Lytechinus pictus: one gene and its partner. The protein of the gene in region 1 purifies or fractionates together with the protein of each later gene. This does not show direct contact. Links are inferred from orthologs where the notes say so. Each region holds a gene or a part of one and is shown in the gene's direction. Other genes may lie near its edges. The genes, in order: ribonuclease P protein subunit p21-like and ribonuclease P protein subunit p30-like.

Evidence for each region.
Region 2: the proteins of ribonuclease P protein subunit p21-like (region 1) and ribonuclease P protein subunit p30-like purify together in Homo sapiens (co-immunoprecipitation; 3 studies listed by BioGRID and IntAct, counting the BioPlex papers as one, with this or other methods). This does not show direct contact. The link is inferred for Lytechinus pictus from reciprocal best matches to the Homo sapiens genes RPP21 and RPP30.

Annotation. Positions count from the first base shown.
Region 1 is NC_087248.1:14,444,444-14,459,471, forward strand, and holds ribonuclease P protein subunit p21-like, read left to right. Parts: upstream 1-10,164; coding exon 10,165-10,527; downstream 10,528-15,028. Other genes in the region: transcription initiation factor TFIID subunit 13-like, read left to right, coding at 4,251-4,289, 7,805-7,901, 8,325-8,422, 9,701-9,865. UniProt on the Homo sapiens protein: Component of ribonuclease P, a ribonucleoprotein complex that generates mature tRNA molecules by cleaving their 5'-ends.
Region 2 is NC_087256.1:15,068,014-15,085,205, reverse strand, and holds the start of ribonuclease P protein subunit p30-like, read left to right. Parts: upstream 1-10,225; 5' UTR 10,226-10,299; coding exon 10,300-10,384; exon of another isoform or gene 10,385-10,469; intron 10,470-16,803; coding exon 16,804-16,862; intron 16,863-17,192. Other genes in the region: kinesin-like protein KIF20B, read right to left, coding at 198-309, 1,978-2,205, 3,235-3,379, 3,835-4,043, 4,414-4,672, 5,396-5,632. UniProt on the Homo sapiens protein: Component of ribonuclease P, a ribonucleoprotein complex that generates mature tRNA molecules by cleaving their 5'-ends. Also a component of the MRP ribonuclease complex, which cleaves pre-rRNA sequences.

The DNA of each region.
Region 1 (15,028 bases):
GGACCCCGGGCATAATAACAAGCGATACAGGTTCTTGGAGTTAAGCTCTCTTTGGGGGCGAAGGACCAAAAAGGCCCGACTAATACAAATCATAAACCATTTAGAATGCTCTGTGCAGAACAGTAATCATAAAATAAACTTAATGATACGCGAACCAAATGATTTATTGGTGTTGTGATGCCTTATGGATACATCAATTGATTAGGTGCTGAAATGTGATAACTATAAAAAAGCAAACATGATTACTGTAATAAATGAAAATAAATTTTCAAAAGACTGCTTTGTAATTAAATAAATCATAAAACACGCTTATGGGACAGTTTGGCAAAGAGCCATTTGGTAAAGATTTACAAGTACATGGGTGTGTGCATAATAATAAGCAATCGGTTTAAAACCTCAAGCTATCGGAAAATTGCAATGTCTTCCATGGGCGGAAATCTGTCCCCAAGGTAGGGGGGGCAGGGGCTGGAAAGTTTGACAAGCAAAAAAAAGGTTATCACCCAAATTGTAAGGTCGTTTTAACCCCCAAAAAAAATGTCAAGCAAAAAAAAAAAAAAAAGTTCCGCCCAAAATGTAAGGTCATTTTAGTAGAGAATACACGTAGGCCTATTATTTCGTTTGTGAATGATGTTATTTTTCTCCATCATAAAAAAAGGCAGGGGGACATTTGATATTGTGTCCCTCCTACTATTTTTGGTAGGGGTATATAACCAATTACATAGGAAACATTTTGCGTCTAGGTTAATCAGTCATAGTGGCTGATGTTATAGACGACAGATATCACTCTCGGGCCTTTTTATCAATGTAGAGACAATGGCAGAGTGGGGATTCGAACTCACAGTCCTGCGATTATGAGGCCAATGCTCTTATAAGTATAATGATATAAGTAAGTATAATAGTATAAAGGTATAAGTTAGATATGTTTAGCTAATATCATGTGAAGAACTCAATATATTGGCCTGCCTGGCAGATCAGATCACTGATCACTGGTTGAAACAAAAATATTCATCTGGGAAGTATAAAACTTTGTTGGGACAAGCTTTAATTTTGGGCGAGGTGTATCTCAGTAATTGGCCAGAATTCTGCGTATTATGACGTACGGGACGGTGAATCTTTTTCTGTTTGCATCGTTCATTGAAGAATCCTCATTCAATACAATACATTGTATCAATATCCAGATTTTAGTAAAGTGATTATGTTTTCATGATCTACTTCGCCAACTTGGGTTGGGTGACTATACGGAATGCCACCTTCACTGATCATACATCGGCCAAAGATGAAATTACATGTTTATGGCAGGAAACAACACTTGCAAAAAAAAACAAGAATGAAAACAAAAAAAGGGGAAACATACATGAATTAAATCTACCTCAATCTAGTAGAGAAATGACGAAGTTCATATTATTACTCGCCCGATTCCCAGGGCCATGTATAACTGTGGTTGTTCCAAATTAATGGGCCATTAAAGAAATAAATGTACAGTTCAAAGGACTTCGCAAACATTTGGATGAACTTTTATCTTGTAATCAGGGTAATATATATTTAATAGATGTCTCTCCATTGCTGTTCTATTGAAAAAGAGCAAATACTGACCTTGAACTTTAGAAGTTGTTGAACTCGGTATTCTAAAACTGGGAAAATGTTTGAAAATATACCCAAAGCAGTTACGCCTTCACAATGTACGTATTCAAGCCATCAATGCGAAATGATGTGTTTGCATTTTTATCTTTTACTTTGGGAATATTGAGACAGTCCTATCTTATGATATGCCATTCGCGAATTATTATATAATCATTAAAATATCTTTTGGGGGCAGATTTGCCTGTATGTTTGTGGCATAATAATGTGGGCACGATTATAAAAAAAAGTGCTTCTCTTTTTCCAGATTTATTCTATCGAAATCAGTTTAAGCTTCGCATTTGCGTTTTTGTTTAGTGAGCGACGAATCGTAATAGGTTTAAAAATGGAAATAAATTAAATATGTATACTCAAAAGTTTCAACTCCCATTCTCATTATTTGTGTTTAATGTGATATATTTTTCATGTTAAAATTATAAAAACATTACTGTTAGTTCTTTACTAGTTCAAAGGTCTTTTGATGGGGCAAGGGATGCTGTAACTTTTTATAAGCATATTATCGTCTTCACCAAAAAAATGTTTTTAAAACTGAGTATATGCTAAACTCTTATATATGCCTTGAAAATGCCTTAAAAATGCCTTAGGATTTCGAGGCTTCAAATCCTTGGGGCCATGGCCAAGGCAGACCGAGATATAGACGGAGAGCTGCAGTCTCTTTTCAGTCAGGTTTTCTTTTTTTTTCCACCTGACTAATCCCCCGCGCGCTTACAGCTTGCATACAGACCAGTCTTTCCACTAAGGAAATTACCCAAATTCCGGTTCAGTAATCCGGATCATCATTCAGGTAAGTTTCGGGTAAGTAAAAAATTCTAGGTAATTCCGTGTAATCCGAAAATTACAATTACACAACAATTAAATGGCGAAACTTTTAATATTTATGTTATCAAAGAATTGTTTACCTCGATACGAAGCCCAAAATTTTCCGCTCGCGCTCCGCGCTCGCATTTCGTCGATTTTGTTGAACAATTAATGTTATATCCTTTGATTTTGGTCACTTGGACTGAATATAGGCTGGCTGTATTATTGCCCGATTTTTGTTAAAAATCAAACTTGAAACTACCAAAAAATATTTCTGAATTTTTGGGGAATTTGGGATTCAGTTGTGGGGAAAATGTTTTAGATCTGAGGAGACACTGATGCAGACCATACAGGTGGATTATCCACGTCACCTCAATGACCATTTCAATGCTTTTTAGCCTTTATTCAGATAATATCACATTTTTCATACATATTTCATTTCATTTTCATAAATTAAATTTACAAAATGAAGTGAAGTACATGTATACAGCAATAGAACAAATGAAATATTATACATTGTGATATACATTTTTAACAAAGATTATCATAACCCATAATACTTACAAAAAAAAGTTCATTTCTCTTGTATTTACTGTATAATAATGCGGTATTGTATGATGAAAAAATCCAAACAGAAAGACTTTTCAAGTTCTGAGCAGATAATAAAATTGATACCGTATATAAAATAATTTGTTTATAGAGATGTGAATTATATAGGCTATCCCATAATAAAATATATATATTTATACCTCTATATTTTGCAAGACAATACAAAAAAATAAGTGCCTACGTTGATACTTGGAAAGTGTACAACAATCTGAATAAAGATTTTATACATTAAACATACACAAAAACAGAACAAACATATGATGCAGACCTATGTTGCAGCAAGGCCCTATATATGAAGAGCTCACTTGCATAAGGGGTTAGGTCAATTTTTCATCAAATTTGATTTTTTTTCCTTTTCTTTTCTTTTTTTTTTTTTTTTGTCTCAATGTATATATAGATTTTTAGTAGCTCTATAAGATCATACCAAAGGAAAGTTGAAATTCCCATTAAGAACTGAAATAAAATGGCCAATAAAAATCACCTTTTTTCAAAAGGGGTTAGGTCCATTTTAGTTTGGTTGCAAAAGGGGTTAGGTCCACAGAGATTTTTTTTGGAAAAAAAAATATTTTTAAAAATGTGAAGACAGGTAGATTTCTTTCATACCCAATTTTATGTTCTCATGGTAGGGTATCATGAAATTAAGTTTCGCCGAACAATATTGCAATATGGGAGAATTAAAAAATGATTTTTTAGTTGGAGTGGACCTAACCCCTTTTGCAACCAAACTTTTCTGAAGAGCTCATTTTTCAAAAGGGGTTAGGTCCATTTTTTTTTTAATATAAATTTTATTATTTTCTGTCTCAAAACCTCTAAATTTTAAGTCGATCTGATGATACTAAAGAAAATTTGAAATTTAAATAAAAAACGTGAATAAAAAGTGTCAATGCAAAATCACTTTTAATCAAAAGAGATTGGATTCATTTCAGTTTGCTTGCAAAAGGGGTTAGGTCCACAATTTTTTTTTTTTTTTAATATATAGAAAAAAAATTGGGGACAGGTAGATTTCTTTTATACCAAATTTTATATTCATATGAAAGGGTAGTACATTATGATAATTTAGTTTCTCATAAGAATATTAAAATAAGTGAGAATAAAAAACTTGTTTTTCTCGGAATGATCCAAACCTCTTTTGCAACCAAACTCTTCATATCGTATCTCTGTGTGTGTTGCAGTTACACACGCCCTCTATCGTCATTTTTACAATAATGGCTGAATCTTCAAGCGCTGCTGCTTCCAATTCAGAGGTTTGTTTTTCGTTTTGTCACAATGATAGTGCACTATTTACTATAATCTTTTGCGCATTTATTTATGTAAGATGTATTTCTATATTTCAGGGTAAAAGTATTTCGTATTGTTACTTTGGGAGGTCGGTAACGGTAATGAAGTTAACAAGTTATATTTTATTGTATGTCCCGTATGCTGCAAAATTTGTTGGGTTTTGTACTTTTGTTGCCAACAATGTTGGATTTTGTACTAGTCACTAGTAGTAGTACTCACTGTACGATCCATGATATTTCTATATATATTTCAGGATCAAAGTATTTCATATTGTTACTTTGGGAGGTTGGTAACGGTAATGAAGTTAACAATTATACTTTATCGTATGTCCCGTAGGCTGCAAGGTTTGTTCATTTTGTTGGATTTTGTACGATCCATGCAAATCATGATATTTATAGGCCGATGCAAGTTTTTTTTTATCCAAGTCACTCATTCAATGAACAAGGTTATGATATAACCTTGTTCTCAGTTATATCTCCATGTGTGGCAAAATAAGGGTGGCAATGTTTGGCTTATTTTCTCTTTTTCTTTGGGACAAATGCTTGATTTTTTTACACTGACAGTTTCCATTAGGGCCTACACCTATTCGTCATACAACTTGGTTCTCTTATTAAATTTGATTCTTTAAATTATTTTTTTCTTAATTAAAAATAGAGATTAAAAAAATAAAATTTTCTTGCCATATTACTTTCTACCAATAGAGGGCGTACACAAAAATATGCCCGAAATTCAAGTTTTTGAGCGCTCTAGTGAATACAAAAATTATTCCCCAGTTACTAATGAAAAATAAATTGCAACTGTATGGAAATTAGTAATTTTGGTCTCAAAAGTGATATTTTAATGATTTTTTAAAGTACGCGCGACCCACTAGTTAGGAATCCACTGCCAAACGCGGTTCATGGTGCGAGGTTAGTATAACTTCGCAATACATTTGAGTGAGACTTTCATTGTGTTGACCAAGTGTAAAATGATCAACGATCGTTTTTGATTAAAATGTTGCAACATCCTGAAAGTCTCCTGATGACATTTTTGATAATCCTTTTTAGACTCGGGATAATTGCAGACCACTGACTCGACTGAAATAAATACAAATGTCTCAAATTGAGCTCTAAATTTATATGAATGATGATGTAAATTATTGTTAAATTATTACGATTTAATAAAATTTTAAGGCCATACTAAAAATATTGGTAATGTCAGCAAAGTTATGTTAAGTTGGAATATGGAAGTACTCCGGACGTCTCCGAGATAAAGAAGTACATCGCGCATGCGCGATTGATAACATAATTTTTCATTCATGAATAACTTACTCTGCTATGTCATGTAAAATTGTATTCTATAATGATATTACGATCGTGAGAAGAGTTTCTGCAACGACGATGTTTGAAAATCAATCCTGACATGATATAATTTTATTTAGACAAGTGCACCCATCACTCGTTACGGAATTCGTGATGTCCGTCATTAAAAATGGAAACGTAATACAAATTGAATTGAATTACATCAAACTCTAAATTCATATTAATGATTATCATTCGCAAATTATTGTTAAAATATTAAGATTGAATAATGTTCTATGGTCATGATAAGAAATATTGTTAATGAACGCAAGATTTATTTTACGTTGATCCCGGCGTTGATTTTCCTTTCAGAACAATTTAGATCTGGTTTGATTAAAGCACAATGCGCATGTGCGATCGATGACTATAAATTCCATTCATGAATTCATCGCACAAATTATCTCGGCACGAAAAGACGAGTGAGACTCGAATTAGGATCAAAATAAACTTCAAATTAATGGTGAATAGGCATCATAATTATACATGGTTTCATTTTAGGGAAATAGAAATCGAGTAATAGCTATTAAGGCGCGGCAAAAAGCACATAGCTTGTTTTATCAATCATAACGTCACTGCATCGTATGTAAACTTCGTGAACGCCCACGCCCCAGGTGGGCCCAAGACAGATTTCATTCATAAAAAACTGTGAGTGAAATTCTAGCGCAAATACAGAACCTCAAGGGTGGGTATGAAAGTGGAATTTTAGTTATTAATACTTGTGCAGCGTCTGAGAACTTGGAATCAATGTGAGGCTGTCAGCATGGTAATAGAATTGTGTTCAATTAAGTAATTGTTCACTTGTTTACAACTCCCACGCAAGTTTTATACAGATGTACACGGTGATGGAATTCAGTACACATGCACTGACTTGACCGGGCGTGTACATGTGTACCCAAAACGGGCCTAATATAGAAGGCAGCACACGGCCTTTTGTTGCTGCCCTCTACGTTCGAAGATGTACAGCACGAAATCAAAATGGCAGATAGGCAAAAGATGTTGACTGCTCAGAATGATGTCCAAAAAGCCCCAAATTTATCGATAAAACTTCATCCAACCCTAAAATAATGCAAAAGGTGAGGATGTATTTATGCTAAATATGTTTGTGTAAAGATGTTATGTAACCATTTACATCCGATGAACACGGATTTTAAAGCATTCTTGGTACAGTGGCTGTACCTTGGAGAAAGCTATGGCTGGTCCGAAGTCGTGGTCAATCTTGACCACCGCAATTGCCATCGGCCAGTTTTCATAACAAAGGGAATAACCATCAGTCCTGTTAATATGATATGTATGGATTAAAATAGCTTGTGCAAAATAGTTGCAGGGTGGAAAAAAACCCTTAAGCGGCCGCACACTGGTGCAGATACTCTACATATGTATACCAACTCGAGTAATGCGCCCGTAATTTGATATGACACATGTGCCTCGAATCGATCTCGATTCAACATGTCAAACTTATTTCACATGCAAGCAGTCAATCCCGACAACACACACTAAAGCTGTACCCTTCTGGACAATAGGCTAAGTCAGTGATAACATCTAATTAATGCCATCAACACATGCGGGAAAGGCGCAAAAATTGACCTTCGTTTTTGCTGGACAGTGTAGTTCACCAGTAGAGGCGCTGGTCAGAAGATTGGGATCGTCCAAGTTCACAGGGACTGTCTCAGTTTTCAAAGATTTCTCCAAACATGAAATCTACGATAGTTCATTCACCAGTCAAGTGCCGATACCAATCTTAGACATATCAGGTTTCATAACAAGATTAAATTGGAAGATGGCAAGTCATGAAAAATAGACGCTGAACTGGGGGAATCGAGGTCACTAAATCTGTTTTTAGCACACTATATCCCTGTAATTGCTGTCTATATCCCGCAGGGGTAAGTGAAAAGAAAAAAGCTGTCCCCATAAAGAAGGACAGTCTCTATTTTTCAAGATATTTGTCTTGGTTTATTAGGATGTCCTTGGTTTCTGGGACAATCCCAATTTTTGGACCAGCGCCTCTACTGTTCACCGATGAACTGAAATTACAGAGCTAGATCTACATGTACCAGTATGGGATCTTTCCCTCCACATGCATCACACTGTCATTTATAGAAAACGTTTTTTGTTTGCATTTTGATTATTCTCTCCTGAAACAGGAAACTGAGGATACCCAGGACTTCGATGGGCAGGAAGTTGATCAAGAAATTCCTGCTGAGAGTGCCGATAAGAAAAAAAGGTTCTTCAACAAAGAATGTAAGACTTTTTTCAGGCTTTCCATCCTGTTTTAGTTCGCAAGATAACTGAAGAACCCAATTTAGCAGATAAACTTAAAGCTTAGGTCATGTATCCACCTTTTTTTTCTAATTTACATGTACATCCTCTAGGGCACATGGCTAACTTGCCCCACCTGGATATGCTGGATATTCCATACTTTTAAAACATTATATATAGAAATAGTCTGCTTCAGCATATGGAATATATATATATATATATTTGTCTATTTATGTATATATATCAAATTGGAGAGAACTGAATTTTTCAAGATTGAGATAGTATTTGCCAGTCTCTAGGAGGTATCAAAGTATAAATCATATATCCATATATATTTTTTTATCATATTACAAAAAAGCAATGTTTACATCTCGTTCTTTTTTCTTCTTTAATCTTACTGTGCAGTGAGATGTATGATGTATGGCTTTGGTGATGATCAGAACCCATATGCTGAAACTGTGGATCTACTAGAAGATTTAGTTCTTGGCTTTATTACAGATATAGTAAGTGTGCTATGCATGTTGCTTTTGAAAATAAATAGAAAAGAAAGAAGTGTGGACAGGGGTGTGAGAGTTCAGATTTTTATCTGATTTCCGATTTTTTTTTTTTTTGGTTTTTATTTTCAGCTTAATTTCAGCTTATTTTTGGCTTTCCTCTGTGCAAAAAGTATGGGAGCTCTTTCTTTTTCAGACTTTTTCAACACTCTTCAGCTTTTTTCAGATCTTTTTATTTGTGACCACTCACACCCCTGAGTGTGGATAAAGTGCATATTCCACAAATGTTGAAGGTAGATTTTTACAAGTATATAGGCCTACTAAACGTGATAATGATGGTATTAATAGTCATCGTATTTAAAGGTCAAGTCCACCCCAGAAAAATGTTGATTTGAATACATGTAAGTAGAGAAAAATCAAACAAGCATAACGCTAAAAATTTCATCAAAATCGGATGTAAAAAAAGAAAGTTGTGCATAATTTCACAAAACAGTTATATGCACATCCTGGTCGGTATGCAAATGAGGAGACTGATGACATCATCCACTCACTATTTCTTTTGTATTTTATGATACAAAATATGAAATATTCTAATTTTCTCATTGTCAAGGGAAACAACGACCAATTCCTCCCTGAACTTGTGGAATGAGCATTGTTCAATACTATATGGTTCAGTCAAGTTGGTCCTTATTGTCAAAAACATAAATAATGAAATATTGTATAATTCAAACAATAAAAAACAAAAGAAATAGATGGACATCATCGACTGGCCCATTTGCATGTCACTGAGTTGTGCATATCACTGTTTTGTGAAAAATAAGCGAAACTTCAAAATGTAACTTTTTATTATACATGTACATCTGATTTTGATGAAGTTTTCAGCATTATGTTTGGATTTTTCTCTATTTATTCAAATCAACATTTTTCTGGGGTGGACTTGACCTTTAAATTAGAATGTCTGTAATTTAGATGCAACGGTCTTTGCTTTAATAAGCCAAGAGAGTAATAACTACATGTACTTGAATAAATTTTCAAATTATATTTATAAAGATATGCATTACCCAGGAAAGCTTGCCAACTTTTTTCTTTAGTCTGTAAGAACTATACAGATTTATTTTAGTAACTAGACTATGCTTGTCTTTTCAGAGGTACAATACATGTTTTGCATTATCCGCCCTTAAAATTACTTTAAATTGTTATTGACTTTTGGAAAGTACTGCATGCAGTAGAGTAAATAATAATTCCATGCAGCATCTCATTCTCTTCCTTCATGTTCTTTTCAATCAGACCCTGAAGTCAACCCAGGTAGGCCGACAAGGCAGAGTTCAAGTAGAGGATATCATCTTTCTCATCAGGAAAGACCCTCGCAAGTATTCCAGAATCAAACAGCTTCTACTGATGAATGAAGAACTCAAGAAAGCTAGGAAGGCATTTGACGAAGCCAATTATTAGTGAAAATGTCCTGTTGAACTGTCAATCATAGAAGATGATATGGGTACTAGGACGGAAGTTCCGCTACTTTAGGAAACTGAGCAAAGGACCCATATCTTAGATAATTTTTCTGGTGATTCGACAGCTGTGAATTGTAAGAACTGAAATACAGCGAGATAGTATTACATGTAGGAGTTTGTTTTATTGGTGTGGAAACTATATAAAGGTTACGATACAGTGGCTTGCAGTACATATTTATCGCTGCATTTCTTGATGACATCCTTAGATTCGGAACCTTCGAAGGATCAGCCTTGCCGAGGATGGTGAAAAGATGCAAAGGTGACGCGGGTCACCAGCGAATGAACTACCTGTACCAAGCAGCCCACTGCACCCTGGCACAGAACCCTGGGAACACTCAGCTGGCCAGGTTCTACATCGAGACCATGAAGAATGTAGCAGCAAAGCTCGTGCTAAGACTTGATCCTCATATCAAGCGTACTATATGCAAAAAGTGCAGTTCCCTTTTGATCCCTGGGGTCACTGCTACTGTCAGGGTCAAAGGTCGTAGGCAGAAGCACGTGGTAGTGACATGCTTAGATTGTAAACAAGTCAAGAGGTTCAATACGGATGAAAAGCATGTTCTGTGGGCACATAAAACGGAAGCCATTCAAGACAAGAGCTGATAAATCGGCTTTTAAGTGTAGATTGCCAAAAGAAACTCGTGCTAAGAGGATGCGCGCTACTGCGTACTAATCAATAAGATTGTGCACAACATATCATGTGCACGGCGGCATTTCTGCACGACTCTAATTCACACTTATTTGAAGTTATTTCTTTGTGACCAACATCCCCCCCCCCCCCCTCCCGGTTATGTAAAGAAAGTCGAAAGTCATAGGTAAAAAGCTGTGACTTGGAATATTACTTTGTGTAAGCATGAATTATTTTCATCTGATTTCTTTATAGAATGTAAGTTTTGGTCCCAGTTCATAATTTAATTCATTTAAAGGGGTACTCAAGGTTTAACATCATATGATTTGAACAGATAAAGAAAAATCAGACAAAACACTGATCATTCGATCAGAATCAGACAATGAATAACAAAGTTATGGCATTTTAAAGATTTGCATTATTCTAATGAAACAGTTCTAGGAATGTCTTTATAAATATTCAATGAGCAAACTGATGATGAAATATCTCTCTTGTTCTTTTGTATTTTATTGTTTGAAATTAGGTTTATTCTTTTTTTTCCTCTAAGAATTAAAAAACAGTTAAACTGACAACTGATTCAGTGCATTAGATATTCATTGCTGCAATTTATTTCATTATAAGGGAGACATATCATTCACACATGAATCAAAATATTGAAACAATTGTGATTTCATGTAATAACATAAGAAAAGGGAAAATGGAGATGTCATCAGCCCACCTAATTAATATTCATGACGATCTGTTTTCACAAAATATTGAAAAATTTAAAATTCAATAACTTCATTATTTGATATAACAAAGTTACGATGAAATCTGATAAATCTTCAGCCCAGAGCACCCCTTTAAACTGAGGTTACAAGAGTATCTTGCTATCCTATCCTTGTAGAATTGGGTTCTTAGGATGGTTTATAGAGCTAAAATCAGTTACACATGACATTACACATGTTGGGAACATGGTAATAAACAAGACTCGGTTATTTTGTTTGAAATTATTGACCAGCATCCAGATGCTAAGTTCACTTTTAAACATTTCATTAATATTATCATGAATTGATTCCCTTTTTGAAAAATTCAGCCTCAAGGGAGCCATACATGTACCATAAAACTGTTAGTTACAAATGGGCATTTTCATGGTAACTGACGTTACACGGCACAATTTTACACCTTTCATTGTGAAAAGGTGTGTAAAATTGTGCCGTGTAACGTCAGTTACCGTGAAAATGCCCAAATGCTTTTACGAGTGACTGGTAATCCTTGTGCTCAATGAGTTTTTTCTGTTTTAACCTAATTGGTATAGATCTAACTTTCTATGACCCATCAATCTGATTTCGCACAAGAGAAGGATAGCAGTCATGCATAACTTATGAGAGCTTTATGAGACACACTGAAGTAATGTTCGGAGTATTCATGGTGAGATTTTGATATCCTTGATATTGATTTACACAGAATCACTGCTGGTGGGAGTTTCATAAACCTGTTTGCAGGCTATGACTGACTTTAAGAACGATTGGTGATCCTTCCTTGTGGCAAGCGGTCAACACCAGGGCCCCCGTATTACAAAGAGTTACGATTGATCCAATCAATCGTAACTCTATGGAAATCCATCAGTGTCATAATTTTTCTACAGGACTTTTGCACAATGTCCTTTGAAAAAAAAGAGAAGCATACTGAATTGTCAAGAAAACAGTAAATGTATAAATATACCAATAACTAGAAAATATTTTGAAGAAACATGTATTTTAGATGTTGGCGTTGCTGGCTTTCCATAGTTGTGATTGATTGGATCAATCGTAACTCTTTGTAAGATGGGGCCCAGGGCTCCGTAACACAATGGTTTGTAATCAATCGCTGAATACCAATGACCAATCAAGATCATCGTTGCATGCATACTCTGTTTAACATACTGACCGGGAGCCAATGAGTGCGGTTCTTTCATATTTGCAGTTCATGGCAAACCTTTGTGTTACGGAGCCCTGATCTCCATTGGCGCTGGGTTAGTTCCTAATTTAGGGTCTTTTGTTTTAAATCACTCAAAACTTACGAACAGCTTTATTAAACACCCACCCGCTGTGGTAACAATCATTAATTACAATTTGTATTAAAATGGTCCTGGGCCCCGTCTTACAAAGAGTTACGTTTGATCCAATCAGTCGTGATTCTATGGAAATCCATCAGTGTCATAATTTTTTCTACAGGAAATTTGCATCATGAGCTTTGAAAACAAAGAGAAGCACAGTGAATTTTAAAGAAAACAATGAATGCAAGATTATACATCATAGTTAGAAAATATTTTGAACGAACGTGCGTAATAGATGTTGACGTTGCTGGCCGTCCATAGTTGTGATTGATCGGATCAATTGCAATTCAGGCACCATTGCATCCAATGATTTATCCATGATTGAAGGCCATCAAAGCCATGGCTGTTGATGAAATTTCCACTGTGCTCAGTTCCCCTCCAATTGACCTTTGGAGTTCTGGGGCCCATTTCATATTAAGAGTTACATCTGTTGTAACTTTGCCATTATGGCAACTACCATGGTAACCTTGATTATGATTGGCTGCTGAGTACTGTTACCATGGTAGTTGCCATAATGGCAAAGTTACAATAGTAATAAGATCTTTATGAAACGGGCCTCTGATATGCCCTTTAATTTGAGTTTTCAATTTGTGCTGTATTATAGAAATGACCCGACAGTTGTGCTAAAATCTGATCAAAAATTTAAAGCATGCAGCTACCATGGTTGAAACGAAATGGAGCAGGGTCATTATGCATTAAGAATTTATAGTTATGGTAACTTGGCTATTCGATGTATTATTAACTCCATGTACATGTAACAGGACTCGGCAGCATATCAAACAAGGTTTCCATGCCCCAATAATTAAAAGGCACAGTTTGGTACAGCAAACAATTACAAGACATACAATTAATTTCACGGTATAAAGTTGAATTGTTATTGATGTCCCCAATTAAAATGTGCATGAATACCTTTTAAGCAGTGAAGCCCTAGACTACAAAAGATCTTCCATATTTTTATGTGGTCTCCATTTTCTTGTAGTGCAGGATACTCAGAGTGGCTGTACCTTGAGGATTGTAAATGAAACTGTAAAGTCTTAATTTTCTGATTCATTTTAAATTCTTAATTGTCTGATTTCATTTGAATTTGTGTGTGTAGATGTACAGAAGTGATTATCATTGTACATATTTCCATTAATAAACATCACTACAGCAGACATCCATGAAAATGGTTGATTTTGTCATGTCTATTGAGCAAATGCATGAATGAAAGAGGAAATCAATTCACAAATCTATATATAATTTTAATTTGATTGACAAAACATATATGTAACATACATTTTTCTTGGAGGTTGGAAGATAAATCAATAATTATAATTGAATAAATATAAATGTATAAGAGTTTCACCTCTGATTATGATACAATTGAAAATCCGTTTCAATAATCTAAATCATTCACTTTGGAAGAGATTAGCTACCAAATCCTCTGAAGTTTGGAAGAGAAAATCTGTCTCCTATCTGATTTTAGAAAACAAAAATTACAATTTGTGAAGACTTGTCTTCACGACATTCGTTAACATCCATTTGACCTTTTTTAAATCTTAGCTGTAACTTTGTCAGTGACATGTTGTATAAACGAAGCCCTGTGAACAATTGCACCTGAAAATCAGTATTTAGTCATTCAAAAATTGAAAATTCGCCAAAGGACCAAACATATCATCCCAATTCATTCCATATACTGCATGTGTTTTTACAATTATAACCTCTGGCAGAGAAATTAGACTTTTTCTTCATAGCTGTTTCATCCAATCCATATGATAAGTACATGACATATACAACACATGACAAAGTTCAGGATTTCGTTCACAAGACCTTTGTCATATCCAATGTTTTTAACCCAATCAGTGAATAAAAATCCACAACAGTTGACTGTTCCAAAAGTCAATATGGTTGGATCATAAGGTGTGCAGAAGGCTTCATTTTCTTGAACTGTATTGCTTGACAAAAAATGAAAATCAAGAAAAAATATATTCTGGTACACTTCATGCTCTCAGCAGACTATAAATACTGTACATATGAAATACATTCTTGAAAAAAAAACAATCTAGAAGATCATTAAATAGCACAAATATTTATGGTGGGTTTAAATAGAAAGAAGACGATTTCAATAACCTGTTCGCTACACATCTGTGACTAAGTTTCAAGGGCCTTAACATCCCAACTTTATCATTCCAATCATTGAAGTGGCCATTGACTCTTCTTTGGATACAATTAAAAATCCATAGAAAATCCTTAGTAAAACCATAGTAAAAATTCAATTTTGAATTTTTAAGGTATCTAGCACTCTCTTCTGGAATGTTTTTGTTTTTCTTCAAACATGGCTCATTGAACACTTACTAGACAAATGGTGTCAAAGAGGATATTGCCTGACAAAAATGCATGTATGTTTCAGGATATACCAT
Region 2 (17,192 bases), on another chromosome or scaffold:
ACATGGAATTTATAAGCATGGATTGTGCTACTGTATCAGACTCTGAGTCATTTTCGTTATCGAAATAGCCCAGTCTTTTTAGAGGTGAATGATTATTTTAAGAGGCTTTTTGAATGGAGACACTATACAAGCCTATCTTGGAAGGCAATGCAAAGGTCCCCAAAATCTTTTGAGAACAAATAGTATGACATCAATACCTTCTGCTCGAGCAATGATTGAGTTTGGTTGCTGCTATGCTGAGGTTTCTCTGACCTATCTTCAAAATCCTGTAAGCCTCATCTGCAGAGTTGACTCGAATCTGCTTCAGTCCTTCACACAAGAAATGATATATGAATTGAACAATTTGAATCTCTACAGATCTAGAATAACAAGGTCTTTGGTCAGCCAATAACCCAATTCTATAAAAAAAACAACAAGTGGAATGCCTCTGGCGGTCTCACCTGCATCACGCGATTCAATATAGCAGCAGTGCTGATTTTGAAAACTACTTTAAAATAATTATTCACAAAAAACACCATTCATATAATGATTCAATACTACGTTCATTGATATTTGACCTTGATCATGTGACCTTTGAAATTTATGACAGCAATCTAATAATTACCTCTAAAATGGCCAAAGTTCAATGACCTTAAAGACCTTGACTTTTGTCATGTGACCTGAAACTCGCATGAGGTGTTCAGTGATACTTGATGACTCTTATGTCCAATTTTTATGAACTAGACCAATATACTTAGAGTTATGATGGTAATTCAACAAATACCCCCAACATGGCCAAAGTCCATTGACCTTGGTCATGTGACCTGAAACTCGCACAAGATGTTCAGTGATACTTGGTTTATACTCTTATGTCCACGTTTTATGAACTAGACCAATACACTTACACGGATATGATGGTAATTAAACAAATACCCCCAACATGCCAAAGTTCATTGACCTTAAATGACCTTCGTCATGTGACCTGAAACTCGGACGGGATATTCAAAGATACTTGATTACTCTTATGTCCAAGTTTCAAGAATCAGATCCATAAACTTTCGAAGTTATGATGGTAATTCAACAGATACCCCCATTATGGCCAAAGTTCATTGACCTTTGATGTTGGTCATGTGACCTGAAATTCGCGCAGGATGTTCAGTGATACTTGATTACTCTTATGTCCAAGTTTTATGAACTAGACCAATAAACTTTCAAAGTTATGACGGTAATTCAACAAATACCCCCAACTTGGCCAAAGTTCATTGACCCTAAATGACCTTTGACCTTTAATCATGTGACCTGAATCTTGCACAGGATGTTCAGTGATTCTTGATTACTATCATGTCCAAGTTTCATGAATCAGATCCATAAACTTTCAAAGTTATGATGGTAATTCAACAGATACCCCCAATATGGCTAAAGTTCATTGACCCTAAATGACCTTTGTCATGTGACGTGAAACTCATGCAGGATGTTCAGTAATACCTGATTAACCTTATGTCCACGTTTCATGAACTAGGTCCATATATTTTCTAAGTTATGATGACATTTCAAACACTTAACCTTAGGTTAAGATGTTGATGTTGATTCCCCCAACATGGTCTAAGATTTGGTGTTGACGCCGCCGCCGCAAAAGCGGCGCCTACAGTCTCACTCTGCTTCGCAGGCGAGACAAAAAATCTATGGAGATTTCCTATTGCTGGTTTTGTTGATCTAATTCAGTGTATTTATGCATTTTATGGAGAGTTTGTGAATTTAGATCAGTTTGCCTATTTCATTTATCTACATGCATGTATGTATTTACTCTCATAACCATTATGATATTGGCACAGGTAATAACAATCAAACAGGGGGGATCAGTGCAGGAATTATTTACATGCATTTTTTTAAATATTTATTTGTATGTGGGACAAAAGCTCCAATTATGAAGAGGAAATGGGTTGTACTTGAGCAGTTACAATATACCATACAAGTAACTATGAAGGATGAAAACCGTACCTTTGATATAGATGCTCCCATTTTTGTCTTCGGCAAGCTTGAGCGCCTGTCTCCTGATTTTCTTCTCCTTCGGTAGGGGTTCAAGGAGGTCGTACATGTACTCATTGTAGATCTCGGCAAAGGACACCCAGATGCTGAACTTGATGGGGCCCTGAGCATCCACGTTGACCATGGTATCATCAGGAATGCGTGCGTTGACCTCGTCTAAGAATGTCTGGTTGCCCATTGCTGTAGAGAAAAGGTTTATAGAAAGGACAAACACAATGAACACAGATCACTAGGCAATTCTTACGCTCTAATTTGACTATTTTAAATGAGGTAGTTACCACAACTTTATGACTTTAACAGCTGAGGGGGGGGGGGGCATTGAAAAAACCTGTCACCTCAACATTTTCTGTGACCATTCCACCGCACGAATTCTTTTTTACATCGCAGCTGGCTGACTTTATACTTTCACATCTTGCACATTGTTTGAGACCAAATTAGTGATGCCCGGGTATGTGGTTCCAAAATAAGGGAAAATTTTGTCAAGTGCATGCCTGACTACAAATTGCTTCAAAATAGTGGAATTTTCTCATCAAATTCATAAAGACATGTTTATTTTCACTTTCACCAGCTAGCTGAATTGATCTTAACATAATTATGGTTCCAACTGTTTTTCCAATAAATTTGGAGAAAAAAACCAAAGAAAAACAAAAGGTTGAAAATCAAAGAAATATATATATTTATTTAAAAATGTTGGCGACCTAGCTCTCAAGGGGGTTATAAGGTCAGAGAACAGCCAAAACACCCAGACTAGTCTTTGTTATGATGGTGTCAACCAAGTTGCTGGCATATCTGGTGAGACAATGTACAGTACAAAGCAGAGGTGCCAAAATAACTCTATAATGTATGCCACACAACTGTTTTATTAGAAGCCTTCCCCTCCCCATTAAGAACATTCACTCACACATTCTTGTACATGTATAAAAAGTTTTGTCATTGGTGCAGTATTGAAGCTTCAACATGATCATTCGTGAGTATTAAAATATGCTGCGCACCCTGCAGTACTTAACAACATGATTCAAATAAGAATAAGGAATACATTGAAAGCAGTCAATACCTACATAGAACATTATTACTGGCTATAATACTTGGATAAAAATTCTGTTCTCGTTTGCTGATCCGGCAATCTAATTAAATTTCTCACGTAGGTATCGCGACTATCGCCGAACTTTGATATCTTAATTCATGGCTAGTACTGTACTTCAGTCTTACCCTCAATGTCTCTGGTAGTGGACATCTTACTCTCTGAGAGCTTTGAGGAGTCCTGGGAATCATCATTGCCGGCAGAATAGGATGCATGTGATATGTCCGTGTTCAGGCTATCATCAGTCATGCTCTCACCTTCTAACATTGTTGTCTAGATAGGAAAGAGTTGTTCAAAGGTAATAACAATCGTGATGGATTTGTTGTACAATAACAAAAACAGGGTGGATGGACAAGGCATGGAAACATTTGAAATGAGATTATTTATTACCAATTTTGCACATCTTTAATAGTAAACAATCAACTTTTGACCTAGAGCAGACCTGCTTACAGATTTATATCAGACTGGCAAAAAAAAAAAGATACCTATGCAACTCATAATTGTTCAATGAATTTTCATGTTTACTCATTTCATGGAAAATAAAGTAGCTTTTTAACTAGATTACATAGTAAATAAAGGACAGGGAGGTAGGACGGGGTGGTCAAATTAACCTTTAACAAATAAACTGAGAAATGTCCCTCAGCCAATAAGATGCATGAATTTGAGCAGCTTTTAACAGTTGTTGATAAAATCTCTGACATTTTGCTTGATGAAAACGATCCTGTTACCTGATCTCCTGCTCCAGTAGAAGGAATATTTCCCAAAGCAAGCACTTTTGATTTCACTTCTTCCTCCTTCTTCTGCTGCCTTTCAGAGAGTTTCACTACATCGCAGAAGTAGCGTGGCTTCACTCTGTTTGATAGGTACTGGCGATCTTCAATGCTGTTGAAGATGACGTCCAAGGAGCGGGGTAAAATCCCACCATCTTGTGGAACACCTGGTTATAATGAAGTAAAATGGAAATGTAAGATAATCCAGCTCTTTCCCTGTTTGAAACTTTGTCCCTTTCCTCATTTTCCGGTTTCTTACATTTTATGTACAACCAATATATTTCTGTTCCGTTTATTCATCCTGTTTAATTCTTTCCATAACTAAGATCTTAACAATTTTGTAATTTCTGTTGTTGACGATTCACTTTGATGTGAGCTAACTTGCAAGAGTTTACAGACATTATGCAAAACTCATAAAGCAAATCATACACTTATTTCAGCAATGCAATTATTAATGACAAAGAGACTCTTCAAATGAGAATAACAATCATATAAATTGTGCAAGGGCCAGATTAGTTAACTCAAAAGTAACCAAACCTTGGATGGTATATGTCTTTCCAGCATTGGTTACCCCATAGGTGAAGAGCAGGCAGTTGTGGCCATCGATGAAGTCTTTGACTGTTGCGAGCATGGTCTCATCAAAGAACATCTTCTGACTGGTATCTTCATTGAAGATCTTTGAGAAAGTGAACTTGTGGTTCATCTCTCCAAAGCCGCGCTGGCTGCTCTTAAAGGCAAAGCTGTTCTTGGGAGCCCTCATCAGGAGAGTGGTGTTGTTTTCCTGGTCCATGCATTCCTGAAAAAAGATGAAGACACACATTTGTCCTCATTTGTAATTTACCTTTTCTTGTACTTCTCTTAGTTCTCTTTACTTTTATGTTTTGCTCTCTTCTAAACGCCTGGAGCATTTAATCAAAATGGAAAAGACGCTATATAAATCATATGTATTATTATTATAATTATGTATACACAATTCAATTGGGAAATTAGAACCTTATTCTTAAAGGTAATTTAAACAGAGGGTGGTGGTCTCTTGGAGACAGAGGGAAAGTGGTAAAACTTTATGCTCCCTACATAACAGGTCTGAGGTATATGGCAGAATTACCTTCTTAATTGTTAATACAAATATATTGAGAGCCCAATCAGATTCTGAAATCCATTCATTTATGTACCAAGTCTAATAAAGTTGAACTGGTTCATCTACTAGTATTGGATCTGCATGTGTAAAGCGGAGTTGGTGCAACCAAACAAACCAATTCTTGAATGTTTTTCTCAGGACCATATTTAATTTGTCAGAACAGAAAAAAAACACCAAAAGAATGAATAAATAAATGAAAAGTCTAGATTGGTTTTATCTAATTGAATATTTTTAATTCATTTTTAAATTGCTGTGCGATATCCCAATTAGAGCAAGTTCTCTTAGTTATAGCATGAAGGAAAACAGTATGCATGTACTACCAAAAACAGAATGTTGCCAGCAACCACCTACAGTTGGTGGAGGCCTAAAAACATACTGTACCTGGGACTCGCCTCCTTCAACCTCAGCATTAGTGAAAGGCCTCACTCTTAGATAAACCTTCATCGGTTCCCTATTGTGAGCGACGCTAACCCTGGCAATCTTCATGGGCGTGGCCGACGTGAATTCTGTAAAGAGGTCCTTTTTTATGCTCTCCTGGAAGGCTAGCAGATCTTCCTCCTCTTCAACAACGTCCTCCTCAGTGTCTGAGAAGTTACTGGAGGCTGGGAAATCACTCATGTTGCCGATACTGTCCTTCCCCGTTTCACTATTTTTTAATTGAAAATTAAAAAAGGATACACCTGTATGTCAAATTGCATTTATGTTTGTTCAACTGAATTCAACTATAAAATATAAAGCAATGATATAAATTTAGGCCTTGAAGCCTTAGATCTATTCTGATTTCTGAAAGAATAAATTGTGACAAAAACGAAGCACAAAATCAAAATACGACATTTTCAACATAATTTGACCTGCACATCACTCTCCTTCTTTGCTGTAAGTACAGGTCTGGTATACTTCCATACTCATGTGCAGGTATCTGTAGTTTATGTACAGTGTCTCAATAAAAGGTTCTACAATACTATGTGCAGCTGCATGTACATGTAAAAACAAGACATCTGTGAAAATTAAATAATTTGGATTTTGAGTACATGTACCTCTCTTTCTTTTTTTAAAAAACATAGAAGAGAGGTACAGGAGACAGCGGCCTGTGGTAAAGCATTCCACAGCCTGGCCAGCGGTCGCATCAGGGAAGAAGCTTTTTGTATTGTCTATATCACTCACTTTATGATAGATAACAAAAAGTATTCAAGGGTAAGTCCACACTCACAGAAATTTAAGAGGGAGGGCAAAAAAATACATCATCAAAATTGAATGTCAAATGAAAGAAAGTAAGTTGGTCAAACTTGGGTTTCATGGACACAATTGATAAGAGTCTTGTTGGCATTATCACCCACTTTTAATTCAAAATTGTTTTTAACAAAATATCACCCTAGTTTCATCATTATTTAGTTGTGAGGTTTTCCATCTACATTGGTGATAAAAAAATAAGAACATTTTTTCTGGTTCACTACATTTTACAGGTGCAAAACTGAACAAGTGCCAAATCTCTAACTGTTAACCCTAAAATGGCCGGGGGGGGGGGGGGTTGAATCAACCCCCCCCCTCAACATTTTCTGCGATCATTCCGCCGCGCGAAATTTTTTGACCGCGCCACTAGCAGAGTTTATACTTTTAAGTCTCGCGCATCTTTTGAGACCAAATTTATGACACCCGGGAATTCGGTTCCGAAATTACGCAACATTTTGTAAGTGCATGTCAGACCAAAAATTGTTCAAAAACGTGATTTTGTGTACAAAGTCAATGCAAATTGAGTTTTCTCATCTTATTCATAAAGATATGATTATTTTTACTTTAAACAGCTGAAAGCAATTGATTTTAGCATAATTATGCTTCAAAAAGGTTGTGCAATAAATCTGGTGAAAAAAACAAAGAAAAACAAAAGGTCAAAAAACAAAGAAATACATAAGAAATTCATAAAACAATAAAATACATAAGAAATTGATTTCCAAACCGAAGTTTTTTTCAATTGCCATTGTTAAGAATACTACAAAGAATATTTTTACCAAAAATTAGCATTCTAGGAGCTTTATTTAGTGAATTAGAGCAAAAAGTATGATTTATGCATAAATTAGCATAATTAATTCATATAAAATAAAATCTCATTATTTTGGAAAATTTTACCATACAGCCTTGTAGATTACATCGCACACTACCAGCATGCAAATTTTTGCGGCGCTCGCGCGATCGGTGGCCGAGATCTCAGGGGGGGGGTTGAATCAACCCCCCCCCCCCCCCCCCCCGGCCACAGAACAGCCAAAAAAGCCCGGCCTAGTTAGGGTTAAAGAAGGTTTACCTTTAGAAAGTAAAGGAAAGTTTGTTGTAAAATATCAGAAAACAAATGAGAAAAAATACTGGTAAAGTTTTGATGAAAATCAATAAAAAATTAATGGGACGCAATCCCTGGCTCCGTGGACAGTAAGCATACGTTAGTAAATCATTTTTACACTCTAGGAGCCTCCTAGCTATGGTTAGTCGTGCCTTGATTTTCCCGTGCACAGCGGCATGTAATGAACCCTTGAGTGCCACTAAGCTAATCCTTTTGCAGCAAATGTAAACAAAGGAAATTGGTCTCCCAACTGGAGACTGTCTCGGAAATTGGATACCCAAATTCTTTACAAGTCTGATATTGGAGATAATCTCTCTCATGGGAGACAGTTTCCCATCCCATATGGCATAATTATTGGCCATGCACCTCTACTGCTAACCAAACTGGATTTTAATTTAGTTTTCGGTATTTTTGTAGCGGGACAGCTTTGCAAGACGGCCGGTGGCCGCCCACTGTCTTGCGCTGCCCACGTTCAAAGAAAGACGGAGCCGAGAAATGACAAATTCGAACAAAGAGATAAAGTAAAGTTGTGTATGTGTTTATTCAAAATCCATGTCAAATCAACAAGCTGATATAGTATAATAACGTCCCATCTATGGGCTGGGCGACCGCAATTTGAGTACAATTAAGCCGACATGGCTAACGGCAGCAAAACAAATCGTTAACGAAAAGAACTACCCCGCCCGACCTAGCACACGCCCATTTTATACTTCTTGGCTCAAACACCACGTGGAGAGAAAACCCTTCCCCAAATCGGTCTTATCCCTTTTGGTGCAATGCGCCAAATTAATCTGCCTGTAATATCAATGTATAAAATGTAACTAATTAATGATTCCAAATTCAAGTTCTTCGGCTTTCCATTATTCTTCCCTCTTACGTAACTCTCTCTTCACCACTCCCCCAACTGCTCTCTCGATCAACTTGTCCCCCTCTGCGACTCTCACACTTCAACCACTCCCACTACTACAGCTCTCTCATCCAATCTCTATACTTAATTCTCTCGTTCTACGACTCGTATCTTACAACTCAGTTATCTCTCTCACCTGTTCATTCTCTCTCTCACCCTCTTTCTAGCCGCTAAAGAATGCAAGCGAGCCATAGAACACGAAATGAGCAGAATAGAAAAAAATTCATTGAGCCCCGAAAAATACTAATTCTAAATCCCAGGCAGGCCAGACAGCCTAACAATTAACCAAGCCAGTGTGCATTCTTTTTTACCTTTCTACATAAAACGTGCCAGCTTGACCCAGAATTAAAGCTGACAACAGAAATTTACACATTTTATGGAATGTAAACAGTGCAAGAAAGAACTTGAACTGAACTGAAGCCAGGCAAACAAACTTTTTAGTAAATTTTACCAAAAGGCAAAACTCAGTCTGTTATTGTTAAAACATTATTAAAAAACAAACAAATCTCTATTTTCCACCCCGCTGCAGCTATATTTTCACCATTTCTTTTGTATTTTCTATGCGCTATCAATAGTCTAGACCAAAAGCTTCAGTCTCTGTATTTTGGTTGTTCCGCTGAACTACGTTGGCTCCACTCACCATACATAGACTGAAGGGGACGGGGCCCCGTACCTACAGCCAACGTATAGTGAACTAGCGTTTTATAGATCGCGATTTAAAACTGTTTTTTAAGCAAAATTGAAAGTTTCATGGTTTCCATTATCAGGGAAATATAAATAACTTAAGTAATTGCATACCTTGGGCCGGAGTTATTGAAAAAAATCCTCTGGATGATTGAGAAATCTGTCATCTAAGACATTTTCACCTGACCTGACGGTTTTTCTTGCAAGTTGCCATCTTGAATGACGTCATTATCGTTATTAATGTCTCGAATCGATATATCGCGATTATAACTAGTACTAGTACTAGTATAACTAGTATCGTTTATCTTCGGTTTCGTTCGCATATGGAGCAGATCGTATAATATCGAAAGCAATATCGATATCACATTCGTGATTGTTGACGTTCGTTTGTAAATATTTTATAGTTTGGCTGCCATTTTGACCATTTTTATCGTGTTCAACCCAATTAAACATTGGTAAAGTATATTTTTCATGCCTTTTTCATCTATATCGTTTAAAGTATTTAAACATTGAAATATCAAGTTTTAAAAGTTTGTTGTTTATACATCCTTAGATTGTAAATTCGATGTGTAAAATTACATCAAACTTTGGACTGTGAATTGACAAAAGGGAGGGAATGAGAACACATGCGAGCCCACACGTACACCCTACCGTCGGTAAAACTAAAATCTAAATGGGGATTACAGTAAAATGTCAGAAATTGTTGAATAAATCCCCAGAAACGACGGTTATTCCTGTCTATCAATAGTCACACTTTTGAAATGTAATCATACACAAATTCATCACATTAAGAAAAAAAACCTCGCACAAAAGCATTGCATGAAGAGTGGCCATTTATGATACAATCGTAAGTAAATTATTATGCACACAACTGAATTGGTGATATCATGGTTCCTTGATACGCGTATTCATATAGCACATGAACGACAACACCATCGGCATCGCATTAAGTTTAACAGCATCCCAGGCGAAAATGAATCTGCCACAAACATAAAAACGGTACAACTACAACCAGAAACTACACTTCACTCACCTCACACTATTTGACTTAATTACAAGGCCTTACTTTAATGTTAAAAGATAGATAGTTGAACAAGCTTACCATATAAGATGATATTTAATTTACTAAATGACTTGGACTTACCTGAGGCTGTACTGATGATGTACTTGGTCTTGGCGATTCTTCGAATTTGACCGGTTCGAGCGCTCGCGAAGTACCTTATCCAATCAAAACACGGGGTTGTCATTAATTGCGGCGAGGAGTAACGGGCAAAGTGATTGGTCGATCGCCATCCACGCAATGTAACGTAAACAAACATTATTTACCCACGTGTGCATGTATGGAAGTCGAATTCAATCGAAAACATGACGCAATTTTTTGACCTAAATTTGATAGATAATCGGTTTGACGAGAAGAGAAAACAAAGAGCAATCGCTAGAGCAGCAAGATGTAAGTATTGTGCATAATTTTCTCCTTAAGGCTTAGTCGCGCGCAGGTTATTCTTCCATCAACGCCGGACGCGGACACAACTCAGTCTCAGAGTCAGAGTCAGACTCGGCACGGGGAACTTCCCGCCGAAAGCAGCGGCGGATCTCGTTCGGCTCGCGCTCGTGCACCTGGGCCGGCCTCCATGATGATGTTTTTTAATATTTTGACATATATTCTTCATCATGGAGCCTTGACGCTCTTTCCATAGACGCAGAAGCGAGACCTTGACACCCGGATGGATAGTTACAGGGTGAAATCGGTTTGTAGTATTGTATTTGTAAGTAATTTGTACGAATTAATTTTATTGATATTTGAAGTTTAGTTTAGCTTAATTCCTTACCTTGACTTGAGTTACCTTGAGTTACCTTGATGGCCACATCTCACTGTCTTCATGACGAGGGTGTACAGATGAGTGTGGCAGGGTTAAGGAGCCTTAAATCAATGACAATGCCTAATTAGTAATGCGTATGAAGGTTAAAAAAATTGGTTAATAAAAAAGTGAAAATTTTAAGGTTTCTTACCTGGCCTAGCCTGGAGGCTTCTCGGGAGTAAAATTATTTCTACTTGAATTACTTATGATATCCCTGACTAGAAAGTAATGAAAAGTCTGAATGCAAAGACTATCACAAAGAACTGCATACATAGTCATAATTAATAGCCACGATTGTGTAACAGTGACGTAATTGCAAACACACAAGTAAAGTTATGAAACTTATATTTCAAGCCTAGAAGTAACTGAGTTATTCAGTCGCGTGAACTATGAAGTGGCATGTCTGAGGAATGACTGATATGATAATGATTTGGACTGATTCGAAATTTAGTCTTTAGAATTAGATGTTAAATTGGCGACCCTGCCAAGATTTTGAATCGCCACGGAACCTGATGGATGTGTGCCCAGCCATCGCATTGCCCAATGGTGAGTAGCTGTGTCTTCCTGCCGCAACTTCCCTGTTCGTTTTGACCCCACTTCGCTGTAATAGTAAAACTTTTACGGAGATTTCTTTTGTGACTATATGGTGAGAGAGTACAATAATGGCTACTGGGCAGAATCAAAACATAACAGTGGTTAGTGAAACAAGAAACCTGAAAACTGGTCCATTTACCCACCCGGATAACCAACTTTCGATTGGGAAAGCTTGGGAAGAATGGTTAGAAGACTTAGAAAGAAAATTATTCAGGTATTTCCGGATAGTGAACCCTGTTGACAAAGCTGATGCACTAATCATCTATGGGGGAAAGGATATTGCCAGGTTAGCAAGATCACTCCCAGACCCAATAGAAACGGATGTTAACAATCCAATGAATGAATACCAAAAGCTAAGGAGGAAACTTGATGAGTATTACAAGCCTAAGAAAAACCAGCATCATGCTCGTTACCTGTTCTCGAAAACAAGAATGCAAGAATGGGAAATCACTGCTGCCTATGTTGCTCGTGTTCGGGAAAAAGCTGTAGAGTGTGAATTTGGAAGTTCACTGGAGGAGAGGATCCTAGAGCATTTGATTCAAACCCTTAAGAGCACATCTCTAATTCAGAAGGCAATCAGTAAAGGGTGGAACCTGAACGAATTATTGAGTGAAGCCACGCAGAAAGAAGATGTTTCGCTTCAAGTGGCAGACATGAGTACGCAGGATGTACGTAAAGTTGGAAAGATGTACCCAAAGTCAAACAAGCAGAACCAGAGAGCCTGTTCATTTTGTGGCATGATTGACAAACATCCCCCAGGGAAAGATTGTCCAGCTTATGGGAGGCAGTGTAATAAATGTCGCAAATACAACCACTTCGCCTCAGTGGGTAAATCAAGTTCCAACTCCAAGGTAAAATCAGATGACAAAAAGAAGGCAACAAGTTCTTTCAAGGATGGTAAAGAAAAGAAAGGAAAACACATAAGCTTTGTCAAGAAAACTGCCAAGAAACAGGAAGGAGATACAAGTTCTGATGACGAGTTTATGCAACACTTGAGTACTAAGCAAGCCAAAACAGTTCGAATTTGGAAGATAGGAATCCAGGACAAGCATGTCAGCATAAAAATTGCTAATCTAGATGCCAAGGTTGAAGTAGATAGTGGTTCCGAGGTCAACCTTATGGATGAGCACCAGTTTAAAGCATTATCTAACAGATCCGATAGAGAGTTGAAGTTACATCCCACAGAGGTTAAACTCAGTGCATTGACAACTGAACTTGATGTCAAAGGAAAATTCACAACAACTGTGGAGAATGAAACCTTAGGTATAGAAAAAGAATTTTATGTGATAAGAGGGAAGATAGACAGTGTACCACTACTAGGAAGAGTATCCGCAACCAAACTAGGAATGTTGGAGATAAGACCCAATGGTACTCTGCAAGCCAAGAAAGTTAGCAAGCCACCAGATTCTATGGATGAGATAATCAAGAAGAATGCTCAGGCATTCAAGGGCATTGGAAAGATACATGACAAAAGAAGCAACAAGGATATTTATGCACATTTCCATATGAAAGAAGGAGCAGTGCCAGTTGCTCAAAAGCCACGCCCTGTTCCATACTATCTCCAGAAACTGCTGAAGGAATGGTTAGATCACTGTGTTGCTGAAGACATATTTGAGCCACTACCAGAAGATGAGCCGGTTACATGGTGTTCACCATTGGTGATACAACCAAAGCCAAGGTATAAGGACAAACCAAAAGAGAGTCTTACACAGAACATGATAAGAACAAGCATTGATCTAAGAATACCAAACAAAGAGATGGAAAGGAGCAGGATAAACCAAAATCCTGTGGTAGAGGACTTCATCCACAAGTTTCATGAGTGTAAAGTCTTTTCCAAGTTAGACGAAGAATGGATACCACCAGTTGATGCTCGCACCATAGTCCAGACACATAGCAACTTTCAGCACCCCATGGGGAAACATGAGGCCTAAAAGACTGATCTTTGGAGCAAAATCATCACAAGACCTGTTTGATGAAACAATCACTCGCATCTTTGGAGATATCCCATAATGCCTAAATCAAAGAGATGACATCTTGATAGGAGGTAAAACTCTTGAGGAGCACGATGCAACTCTAGAACAAGTCCTGAAGAGAGCTACAGATTTCAACATCACTTTCAATTCTGACAAGTGTGAGTTTGGAGTAGACCAGCTAGAATTCTATTGCTACCTCTTCACCAAAGATGGACTAAAGCCAACTGAAGAAAAGGTCAGAGCAGTCAAGGAAAGCTCACAACCAAGGTCCAAGGCAGAAGTGAGAAGTGTTCTTGGTGTGATCGGGTATTTATCCAAATTTATACCCAGATATTCTACTCTTACTGCACTGCTGAGTGAACTGACCAAGAAAGATACTAAGTTCGTTTGGGGAGACGAAGAGGAAAATGCGTTCCAGAAACTGAAGCAAAGTATCACAAGTGAAGATACTATCACATACTTTGACCCCAATAAGCCAATCATTCTGAGAACAGAAGCAAGTTTCAATGAAGGCTTATCAGCAGGATTATTCCAGCAAACTGAGAAGGGATTGCAGCCTGTACATTTTGCCAGTAGAAGCATGACACAAGCAGAGAAGAAATATAGCCAAACTGAGAAAGATGCTTTGGCTATAAAATGGGCAAAGAACAGATTCAGAGTGTACCTACTAGGAGCACCAAAGTTCAAGATAGTCACAGCACACAAGCCATTGATTCCAATGTTCAACAAACCCACAGCAAAACTGCCACCTAGAATTGAGAAATGGGTGATGGAAATGCAAGATGTGGATTATGAAGTAATCTATGAGCCAGGAAGAGATGAAGTTGACCCACTGGATTACTTGTCCAGACATCCACTACCAGAGACTGATTCAGATGACACAGAGAAAGTAATCAAGCAGATCATAGAAAGTGAACATGCTATAGTCATAGACAGAATCCAGGAAGAGACAGGAAAAGACAAACAGTTGCAGAAAGTGAAAGAAAGAATCATGAATAATGATTGGTGGGAATTCAGGAAGGATGAAGATATCAAACCATATTACCCACTTCGTGATGAACTATACATTGCACAAGATGTAATCTTCAGACTAGAATGTATAGTGATACCCAGGTCCTTGCAGAAAAAAGTGATCAAGAAAGCACACAAACTAGGTCACTTTGGCATAACAAGAACCAAGCAACTACTGAGAAGCAAGTACTGGTTCCCGGAAATAAACAGAATGACTGAGGAACACTTGAGTCAGTGTTACGAATGTCAAGTAAATACAAAGGATCACAGGGAAGAACCTGTCAAGTCGACTCCGATCCCAGAGAAGCCATGGGATATAGTCTCAATGGATTTTGGAGGTCCATATCCAGATGGTCATTATAATCTTGTTGTCATTGACAAGAGAACCAGATATCCAGAGGTTGAAACAACACGATCAACCTCATTTCAGGCCACCAAGACAAAACTAAAGAGAATCTTTGCTACGCATGGAGTTCCCAGAAGAGTTGAAAGCGACAACGGACTGCCATTCAATTCGAAAGAATTCCAAGATTTCGCAAAGGAAGAAGGTTTTGAACATCACAGAGTCACACCAGGCCACCCAAGAGCAAACGGCGAAGCCGAAAGCTTAATGAAAGTGCTTAACAAGACAGCAAATAGCACATCTCCAGAAGCAGGATCGAGAGATTGCTATACAAGATATGTTGATGGGTTATAGATCAACACCACACCCAGCAACAAGCACACCACCATATGAAGCACTGATGGGCAGGTCAGTTAGATCCAAACTTGACCACAAAAACCCAAGAGAAGAAGCTAGTATGAAGGATGAAAAGATCAAAAAGAAAGATGGTGAATACAAAGAAAGAGGAAAAAGGTTACGAGAGAACAGAAACACCAAGACACACAACTTTGTTGTTGGTGACTTCGTATTGCTACGCAAGACAAAGAAGACCAAGTGGACAACTGCGTATGAACCAGCATTTTATGTTTTATTTAGAATCGATGGTTCATCAATTGCAGCACGCAGAATATCAGATGGAAGAGAGATGTACCGAGATTCACTTATAACATTATTTTTACACGAAAAATAATACAAATATTAAGAAAAATCATGTATGAAGATGAGCAGATACTCACCGATGATCTTGTCGCCATATTTCCGTCTTTGTTCGTAGCCTAGTTACAAGACGCGTATAAGAGAGGGCGACGATATCATGAGCAGTGCCATTGCCAATGAAAAAAAAATCTTCAATTGGCCGATGAATTTGGCCGTGAAATTTTACAATTCACGATATTCATCAGCCGATTGAAGTTTTTTTTTTTTTTTTTGGCACTGCTCATGATATCATCGCCCTCTTATACGCGTCTTGTAACTAGGCTACGAACAAAGACAGAAATATGGCGACAAGATCATCGGTGAGTATCTGCTCATCTTCTAACATGATTTTTCTTGATATTTGTATTATTTTTCGTGTAAAAATAATGTTATAAGTGCCTAATGTGGGGAAATGAACTTTTTTTCCATTTACAAAATTGTGTGATAAGCAAGTTAAACAAATCAAGCATTTTGGAGCAACATTGTTGTCTCCAAATACTCGCCTGTGTGTGGGCCTATGCTTAGCCCTACCAGGCTTCATGGGGAGTAAGCCTACGTATAGTAGAAATAATTTTACTCCCCAGAAGCCTCCAGGCTATTCTTAACTTACCAGAATGACCTCGTGTAGATCCCTCGATCCGTTTGTCAACAAAGCAAATACAATAGGTCTGACCCTTGAACCGCTTCATTCTGGATCTGGATGTGTACGATGCTGGGCCCTCCTGGGTATAAACGCATCGGGTGACGTACATTCGATTAGCGATGTTACAAAATGCCATTTTGAAGAACAATTTATAGATACAAATTATTATTTAAAATAATACTAAAATTTAATACGTGATTATAAATAATTATTATAATGATAATGATTATTTAGACTAACAGACGGAATGGCATTAGACGAACCATGTGGGGAGTGGACGAACTAATGGTAGACCAAATGATAGTAGACAAGTTTGCAATTGACGAATTGGCATTAGACGAATAGGAAGTTAACCAATTGATAGCATGTTTCATAAAATTAATACCTACTTTTTTAATGGAAGTTTTTTGTTTCCGCATTTTGTGCATGAGCAATTACATGTATGTTAGGAACAGGTATAAGATGTCGAGTTCCCTTCTAAGGTCACTTCCCCAATAAAAAACCCCAACTTGTTTGGGTGGAGAGTCCCAGCAAGTGTCTACACTATGCCCCTACAGGGGAGATCCTGGGAAATGGGGAACAGTCTGGAAAGGGTACAATGTATTAGTTACAAGAATGTAGTTTCACACCCAATATTACAAATATCTTGACATGGACTTGATTAAGAGTAATTTGTTTTTCATTTTGATCACCTCCCCCGCCCCCTTCCAGTGGGATATGAAGTGGTTGCAATTGATCATAGGCAGAAGAAGCTGGATCGCAAATCAAAGGTGAGTTCTGTTCTTGAAATCTAATAATATATCAGACTTAAACTCCACAATTTAATAAAACAATAAACAGCTCTTGTATAGCGCATATCCCATAACTTTTTAATCCTCTGGTATGTAGTTGCATTGGTGATATGACAAACTGTATTGTTGCATTCATTGCAGTAAACGCACTGTATATTTTAATATACAGTGTGTCCTATCAAAACGGACACTCATATTTTCACGGATAGATACATGTATCCCAACTATCAAATGTATTTTACACTAATAGAATCGGAGCAAACTTCTCTTTAGTTTAGTCCAATTTCTTAGTGGATATGTCACACATGG